Linked DNA regions of Nothobranchius furzeri. The protein of the gene in region 1 purifies or fractionates together with the protein of each later gene. This does not show direct contact. Links are inferred from orthologs where the notes say so. Each region holds a gene or a part of one and is shown on either strand. Other genes may lie near its edges.

The links.
Region 2: the proteins of polb (region 1) and parp1 purify together in Homo sapiens (affinity purification with mass spectrometry; 4 studies listed by BioGRID and IntAct, counting the BioPlex papers as one, with this or other methods). This does not show direct contact. The link is inferred for Nothobranchius furzeri from reciprocal best matches to the Homo sapiens genes POLB and PARP1.

Annotation. Positions count from the first base shown.
Region 1 is NC_091757.1:55,610,223-55,614,042, reverse strand, and holds part of polb (DNA polymerase beta), read left to right. Parts: intron 1-218; coding exon 219-285; intron 286-365; coding exon 366-485; intron 486-592; coding exon 593-651; intron 652-752; coding exon 753-802; intron 803-964; coding exon 965-1,016; intron 1,017-1,141; coding exon 1,142-1,196; intron 1,197-1,266; coding exon 1,267-1,339; intron 1,340-1,416; coding exon 1,417-1,487; intron 1,488-1,570; coding exon 1,571-1,657; intron 1,658-1,762; coding exon 1,763-1,830; intron 1,831-1,954; coding exon 1,955-2,094; intron 2,095-3,032; coding exon 3,033-3,127; 3' UTR 3,128-3,820.
Region 2 is NC_091742.1:4,979,676-4,983,969, forward strand, and holds the start of parp1 (poly [ADP-ribose] polymerase 1), read left to right. Parts: upstream 1-1,269; 5' UTR 1,270-1,393; coding exon 1,394-1,516; intron 1,517-3,217; coding exon 3,218-3,383; intron 3,384-3,671; coding exon 3,672-3,787; intron 3,788-3,878; coding exon 3,879-4,093; intron 4,094-4,099; exon of another isoform or gene 4,100-4,114; coding exon of another isoform or gene 4,115-4,294. Other genes in the region: adorb1a (adenosine A2c receptor), read right to left, coding at 4,115-4,294. UniProt on the Homo sapiens protein: Poly-ADP-ribosyltransferase that mediates poly-ADP-ribosylation of proteins and plays a key role in DNA repair.

The DNA.
Region 1 (3,820 bases):
TAAAAAATTATTTAATAAAATAAAGAAGTAGAATAATTTTCAATATATGTATGGATAGAATGTCAGTTAGGTTTTCAAACTTGAATAATTGACTCAAGAAGCAATTCTGCAGGTGTTTGAAATCAGTTGTGTCACCACGGGTCCTTAAGGGTTAACATTACTTCAGTTTTGGTGTGTTTTTAAAACATCACATATGATTCCTTTTGTACGGCGAATAGGAAAGCAGCTTCCACCATTGCCAAGTACCCCAACAAGATTAAGAGTGGAGAAGAGGCCAAGAAACTGGTTGGTGATTTTTAGTTTTGTACACTTGCTGCATTTGTTAAGAAGTCACCGTTGTTTAATGTATTAACATACATGAAAAGTTGAAGAAAATCACTAATTTTCTTCAACTTTTCACAATTTTACAGGATGGAGTTGGAGCCAAAATAGCAGAAAAGATTGATGAGTTTCTTCAAACTGGCAAGTTAAGGAAACTTGAAAAGGTAAGTTTGGATATTTGCATAATGGATATAAGAGCAAACAACCAAATGTGTTTGGATTCAAACGCATCACACTGACTGATGTTTGCTACTTTAATATTTTCTACCAGATCCGAAACGATGACACCAGCTCTTCCATCAATTTCCTTACCAGAGTAACTGGAATTGGGTATTGTATTGTTATTGTGACTATTATTACAGTTAAAAAGTGTCGGGGGATGTTTACAATTAAATACACAATCACCACATCACTTGGTTTTCTGTCCACAGCCCGGCTGCCGCAAGGAAGTTCTTCGAGGAAGGGGTTAAGACTTTAGATGGTTTGTGAAACAAATTCCCCTAAAACAGTTTCTTGTTTAATTTCATTTCACATCCAATGACTCTGAGACTCTGATCTCCATTGTTTCCCATGAAGTTGTTGTGTACAAATTTGGTTTTATTTATATATTGATTCTCATGATACTCATGGTTTTTATTTTCAGATTTGAAAAAGGTAGAGCACAAGCTAAATCATCATCAAAAGATTGGGCTCAAGTAAGCTCAGCCAAAATACGCTCATCCCCCAGCACCACCACTTTCCTTCATTTTCTGTTATTATTTGATGGTTTTAAAAGTATTTTTAACATAATAAATGTGCTGGTGTTTTCTTTGGTACTTAGGTACTTTGAAGAATTTGAAAAAAGAATCCCACGAGCTGAAATGGAGAAGATGGAGGTGATTTTGAATATTTCTACTAAGGCTTTTATGCCTAGTTCTCTTACACTGATCCTGTGTTTTTGTTTAGACTCTTATTCTTGGAGAGTTGACAGAAATCGATACAGAATACATCGGAACAATTTGTGGAAGCTACAGGAGAGGTAACCCAAGTAGAAAATAATTAGTTTTTAATTTAAGGTTTTAGTTGAGCTTTTTAATTAAGGTGAATAATTTCCAGGTGCAGCATCGAGTGGTGATATTGATATTTTATTGACCCACCCAAAGTACACTTCTCAAACCGAGAAGCAGGTCAGACCACCGTTTATTCTGTGGCTCATTGTTTTCTAAAGTAAATGCAGCTTTCTCTCATTTAAGCGTTTCTCATTTTCCAGCCCAAACTCCTTCATGCTGTGGTTGAGCATTTGGAGTCTGTCGGCTTCGTCACCGACACTTTGTCCAAAGGAGACACCAAGTTCATGGTGAGGCCTGTTTTGTTCTCAGCTGAGGAAACACACCAACCCTCCGTTGTACATGACCCTTTTCTTAATGTCCTGGATCTAGTGGTTTTTTCCCCTTTTCTCTAGGGCGTCTGTCAGCTGCAGCCTAGTGATGATGATGAGGAAGAATATCTTCACAGGCGTATTGATATAAGGTTAATATGGAAGTCTTACAGATTTTAATACATTAGGTTGCTTCAAAATAACGATTGAGTAATTCTGTCTTTATTCAAATAGTTTTTTTCTTGCTAGTTATTGATTTTCATTTCATTTCAAAAGGTTGATTCCCAAGGACCAATACTACTGTGGAGTTCTGTATTTTACTGGAAGTGACATCTTTAACAAAAATATGAGGACTCATGCCCTGGAGAAGGGCTTCACTCTTAATGAGTACACCATAAGACCACTTGGTGTCACTGGTGAGTCGAACAAAGCTAGATACACTCAGAACTTTGTTCAAGTTCTCAATAACCAGACATCATATAGACAGACACCCTGTGGACTTGTGCTGCCGTGGCAGGCTGCCATCTTGGATGGGTCTCCATTCACCCCCAGTGCATTTATTTCTACTGTTTAATGTATTTACGCAAATAAAAATACTTTTATTATGCTTTTTCACAAAGTCAGACATATGGTATGGCATGATAGTTAAATATCTTTTTTGCACATTATAAAAACTATACAATAATTTAACTATACACTTAATATAAATATAAATACACACTACAGTACTGGGTGACAGAAACAGACAGGCAAATTGATGATATTTCAGTGCAGCTTATTTATTGTGCAAGTTTGAGTTAATTATGGTGATAGCTTTAGGAAAGAAGCTATCCCTGATTCCATTTGTTCTGGCCTGTATGGATCCGAAGCACCTGCCAGAGGACAGTAGGTTGAAAAGATGGTAGTTTTTAGCTGACCAGGAGAGGTCTGCAGAGATATGGATGCCAATACACTTCGAAGACTCCATTTGGTCCACAGATTGTCCATTGATGTGCAGGGGGGCAGGGGTCATTCTGTTCCGCCTGAGTTCCTTGGCCTTCCCAACGTTATGTTCCAGGTTGTTTAAAAATAATTACATAAAATAAACATAAAACATCTCAAATGTAAAATCCCAAAAGATAGGCTAGAAAAGTCCCACGTGATCTGTTTTCAATAGTGCGTTGGTTGATGCAACCATAAGCTGTACAAAATAAAGGCGTAGTTGCTCACTCTTCATTGACTCTTGGGTTTAGAGAATGGGGAACCCATCCAATGTGGTGGTGACACCGTTACACTCTCCAACGCCCAATGAGGTGTCTGTCTTTGTCTACATTATTTACAGCAGTTCATTCTTGTATCTTTTAATCTGTTGTAGGAGTGGCTGGGGAGCCTCTGCTGGTGGATAGTGAGAAAGACATCTTTGACTACATCCAGTACAAATACAGAGAGCCGAAGGATCGCAGCGAGTAAAACAATGCTACAGCTGTCCTGCAAACAAGATTTTACTAGAAACAAGTGTTATGCTTTTGCCATACCTTCATGACGCTGAGAAGAAAGTAACTGTGAAAATGTTTTTAATGATTTGTGTTGAAATATTCCTACCTAAATTGAAATGGTCATCACTCTTGTGAAAAAAACGCTGTATTTATATGTTGACTTTACACACAAACATCCTTGTGAACATAACTTCAACTTGTTTTTTATCATGTAAACAATAATTTATTTGACCTTATTTTTATTAGTTTTTATTGTTACAAAAAAACAAAATGTCTAGATAAGTCATTTTTTAACTGGAATGACCTATTGCATGTAATGTATGTGCTGAGACTCGTGTTTTTCTTGACGATGGTGCTCTTGAATACAGCTTACTTGTACTTTTATTTCTTATTTGGCTAAGTAGACAAAGGGGAAAGTGGTAGTAGACGTTATCATGCCAATATTGTGCTTGCTTATCTGTTTGGGGGAAAAATACATGTTCGAATGGGACATAATAGCATTTTGAGTGATGTTTTCAAAAGTAAAATAAGGTGTAAGACTTGAATACAAGATTTGCATTAACTATTTTAGTTTGGGTTTTGAATACTTGCATGAGGGGGAATTATGAAATTGATTCAACTGTTAACTGAGTGTGAATGAAATAAAGGAAAGTGATGGATTTCTATT
Region 2 (4,294 bases), on another chromosome or scaffold:
ATCCTGTCACTATAAAACTAAATGAGTTGAGACCGTCTTGGGTGAAATCATCTATGATTTCTCATCTAAACCTTACTTTGGAAATTAACTATTTATAGCATCATAATATAGGTTAACTTCATCATCTGAAATCTCTGTTTTCAGTTGTTGTTTATGCTATTTTGTCCAGTTAAAGAAAAGCCAACACATTTTCTTGCTTGCTTAGAAAATGTGCTAGCAAGAGGTGAGACCTCTACGCCAAAACACACAATACCTCTTAGAATTTTACTCAGTGGCCTGTAAAGCCCTGGTTGACGTTTTTAGTGAGTTATTTTCCACCAATTTTGTTTACAGTTAAAGATGTTTTTATATTTATTAGTAAGCCCAAAGATTTTTTAGAAATAATTTTACTAATTAATGACTATGTGAAAAATTATTGTAAAGACGAGTAAATGAAAGTCTCCATCAGTGTATTATTATTGTCGTTATTGAACCCAAATTGTTATCTAGGCCCTTATAATCAGGTCATAGTTTTTAAAAATTTTGTTTTCAAAAGACTGAAGTTCATTTGATGAACACATATTGTATTTACATTTTGTATGTTTATTTTTTACATAAACTTTCAATGTGAATTGTGCAAATAAAAATCTTAAAGCAGAACTATTCTTTGGAATTGTTTGTTTGCGCATTAGTTCTCAGTGATCAACTATAAACAAATGCAACTATTGTAAATATATTTATAATTAACATACTTAATAGTTTTGCTTCATGTAGAATTTCATGTTTAGTTTTGTAAAAATCTGATTGATCTGTGCTCCATTAGTTCTGGCTGAAACTCGCGCGGGAATTCTGCGAACCAGTTCACTGATCCTATATTGCTCTTAAGATGCCCCACTTGGTAGAAGAAGAAAAGTTAATGTGTGTAGCGCCTTTCAAGATAAAAATCACAGTGCGTCAGAGATTTAGGTTAGGGCAGAGCTACTCTAGCTCTGGGTTAGAGTGGCCAAATGTTTCTCTCTTTTATGAACCGTTAAGAATAAACAAAGTTGTTATGTGGTTACAGTGTAACAACTCAACCCTGATTTTTTTCGGTACATTAGAGAAAAATACAAACAGGTGGGGACCACACAGAAGTTTAAAATGGCCAAACGAATCATCATAATGTCTCGAATCATAACGTAAACAAACTAAAACGTAATATACCACAAAGTACATTAAAACAAAGTTAAAACTTACGTGGATTGTAAATCGGAGTCAGAGTGAGACCTCGTCTCGTGAGCTTCCTCTCCAAGTAGCACGCGGGCTGCAGCCGCCGCTCTGCCTGTGATTGTTGTGGTGGCTCCGAGAGTGCATCGGAGAAAGTTGCCCTCTTCATCACGTCGCTTTGTTTGCTTGTTTGCAACATTAAGGAACAATGGCGGACTCCCAAGATGACAAGCTCTACAAGGCGGAATACGCGAAAAGCGGCCGGGCTTCGTGCAAGAAATGCAAAGAGAGCATAGCTAAGGACTCGCTGAGGATGGCCCTCATGGTGCAGGTGAGGAGGTAGCGACGTCTGGAGGGATTTAACCAAGGAACCATTCTGTTATGAAGCCTTTTATAACCGTGCTGATATCTAAATCATATGTGCGCATATAGAGAACCATAATAATCAGACTTTAAACTAATCTAGTGTAGTTTATAAAGGAGTTTGAGTTGTGCTAAGTGAGGCCCCCGGTTAGCATTTAAATGGCTGACTGAATGAATCTGGCTCACAAAGAGCCGCCTGGATCGCCTCAGAGGGACTTAGGACAATGTCTGAGACCCATCCAGTGTGCTGCAGAATACAACTGCTCCATCCTCTCCTCCACTCAAGAGACATAGATAAAAAAAATCACACAAGCAGCTGTTCCAGTCTGTGCAATAGAGAAATAATCATGTAAGAGTCAAACTCCTGCTTATTGGTCAGTCTGTGGGTCCAGATCAGCACTCACCCCTGCAAAAGGAAGGAAAATTCATTACCACTTGCACACATTTAAAGTTTCAGCCACAAAATATAGTCTATATAGTATTTCTTTTGTAACGTCTTAATAGTTACAGTAATGCATATTATCAGGTCAGTGGTTCCTTTTTGTTTTTATTGTTGGAAAACCCAACCGTGTGTTGTGTATTTTCTGCAAAATATGTCAATTTTTTTTTAGTTCTGGCTGCATGAAACATTGACATTCTTGTGAATATGTTTATTTGTTATACTTGTTTAAATAAGTAAGTCAGAATTATTATCTGTAGTTTTAAAGACAAAATTGTGAAAACCCTTGTTTACAAATTCATGATTTTATTTTTAACGTGAGTAAAATCTGAATTTTTTTAATGCACAAAAAACGTTTGTCATGTAAAACCAGAAAAATTCCATCCATCCATTTTCATCCGCTTATCCGGAGATGGGTAGTAGCCAGTAGCCGAAGTCAAGAGGCCCAGACTTCCCTCTCCCCAGCCACTTGGGCCAGCTTCTCTGGTGAAATCCCAAGGCGTTCCCTGGCCAGGTGAGAGACATAGTCCCTCCACCGTGTCCGGGGTTTACCTTAAGGGCTCCTCCTGGTTGGACGTGCCCAGAAAACCTCACCAGGCAGGACTGCGGGTTCCCGTCAGCTGCCTCTGGAGTCCCACAGGCCAAAAAGACCTGTTAGGACTCTTTCTTCAGCTTGACGGCATCCCTAACCGCCGGTGTCCACAAGCGGGTTCGGGGGTTGCCACCACGACAGGCACCAACGATCCTGCGACCACAGCTCCGGTCGGCCGCCTCAACAAAAGAGGCACGGAAAAGAGTGCATTCAGACTCGATGTCCCCCGCCTCCCCCGGAACATTTTGGAAGTTCTGTCGGAGGTGGGAATTGAAGCTCCTTCTGACAGGAGACTCTGCCAGACGTTCCCAGCAGACCCTCGCGATACGTTTGGGCCTGCCTGGTCTGACCGGTATCCTCCCCCACCATCTGAGCCAACTCACCACCAGGTAGTTGTCAGTTGCCTGCTCCGCCCCTCTCTTCACCCGAGTGTCCAAGACACGCGGCCGCAGGTCAGACGAAACGACAACAATCCATGACTAGCACAGAAATCCAACAACAAAACAACATTCAAATTCAGAAACCAGAAAAATTCAAACAGAAAAACCTTTATTCTCACTTTAATGGTTTTGTTTTTTTTTTTCATCTTTTTTTTCTGATATTTGCTGTTGCTTCATTGTCTTGTTTTTGTCCTCCAGTCCCCGATGTTCGATGGGAAAGTCCCACACTGGCACCACTTCTCCTGCTTCTGGCAGCGAGCGGCAGCTCAGACTGAAGCAGACATCGCCGGGTTCTCCACTCTTCGCTGGGAGGACCAGCAAAAAGTCAAAAAGGCTATTGAGACTGGAGGAGCTGTCGGAGCAGGTCGGTGGTAGATCTTTAATTATTGTGTTCAGCGCCTTGTTTGGTTGTAATGCCTTGTGAATGCGCTTTATAAATAAAATTGGATTGGATCGTAAGCAAAAGAGCTTAAGATAGCTACTTTCAATTGGTTTAACTTTGTCTTATTAGCCAGATAAAAAAGTGAAGTGATCCATAAAAAGTCAAAAGAGTGCCATTTCTCAAGTTGTTCTAAATGTTTTTAATTTATCATTTACTATTAATGCATATTTTTTTTAAATGTTTAGACTTATTTTCCTTTGCATCTTGCAGGGAAAAGTGATTCAAAAGGTGCCGCTCAAGGGGCCAAAACTCTGAATAACTTTGCCGTGGAGTACGCCAAGTCGAACCGCAGCACGTGCAAAGGCTGCGAGCAAAAAATAGAAAAGGTCCGCAGCACAGGAAATGTCTTAATCAATAACCGTTGAACACGTGTCATAAATACTTCACATGTCTGCCGTATTTTTGCTTCTCTTTCAGGATCAGATTCGTGTTTCCAAGAAAACGGTTGACCCAGAGAAACCTCAGCTGGGTCTGATCGACCGCTGGTACCACACGGCGTGCTTCGTGAGCCGCAGGGAGGAACTGGTGTTTAAGCCCGATTATTCCGCCGCCCAGCTGAAGGGATTCGACGCGCTGCGCGCCGAAGACAAGAACGATCTTAAGAAGAGGCTCCCTGCTGTCAAATCTGAGGGGTGAGATGACAAACGTTTAGTTTAGAGATTTGTTTCCTCAGCGATGTTATTCCTGCTGCTCATCGTCCTGCAGCACAAGAAAATGTCCTTAAACGTGTCCCTGAAAGCCGTCATGGTGTACGCGTATAGGAAGGGGTTGATGGTGGAGTTTGCGTGTGACAGGATGATGGCGGTGAGCAGCAGCTCCAGCGGCACGGAGCA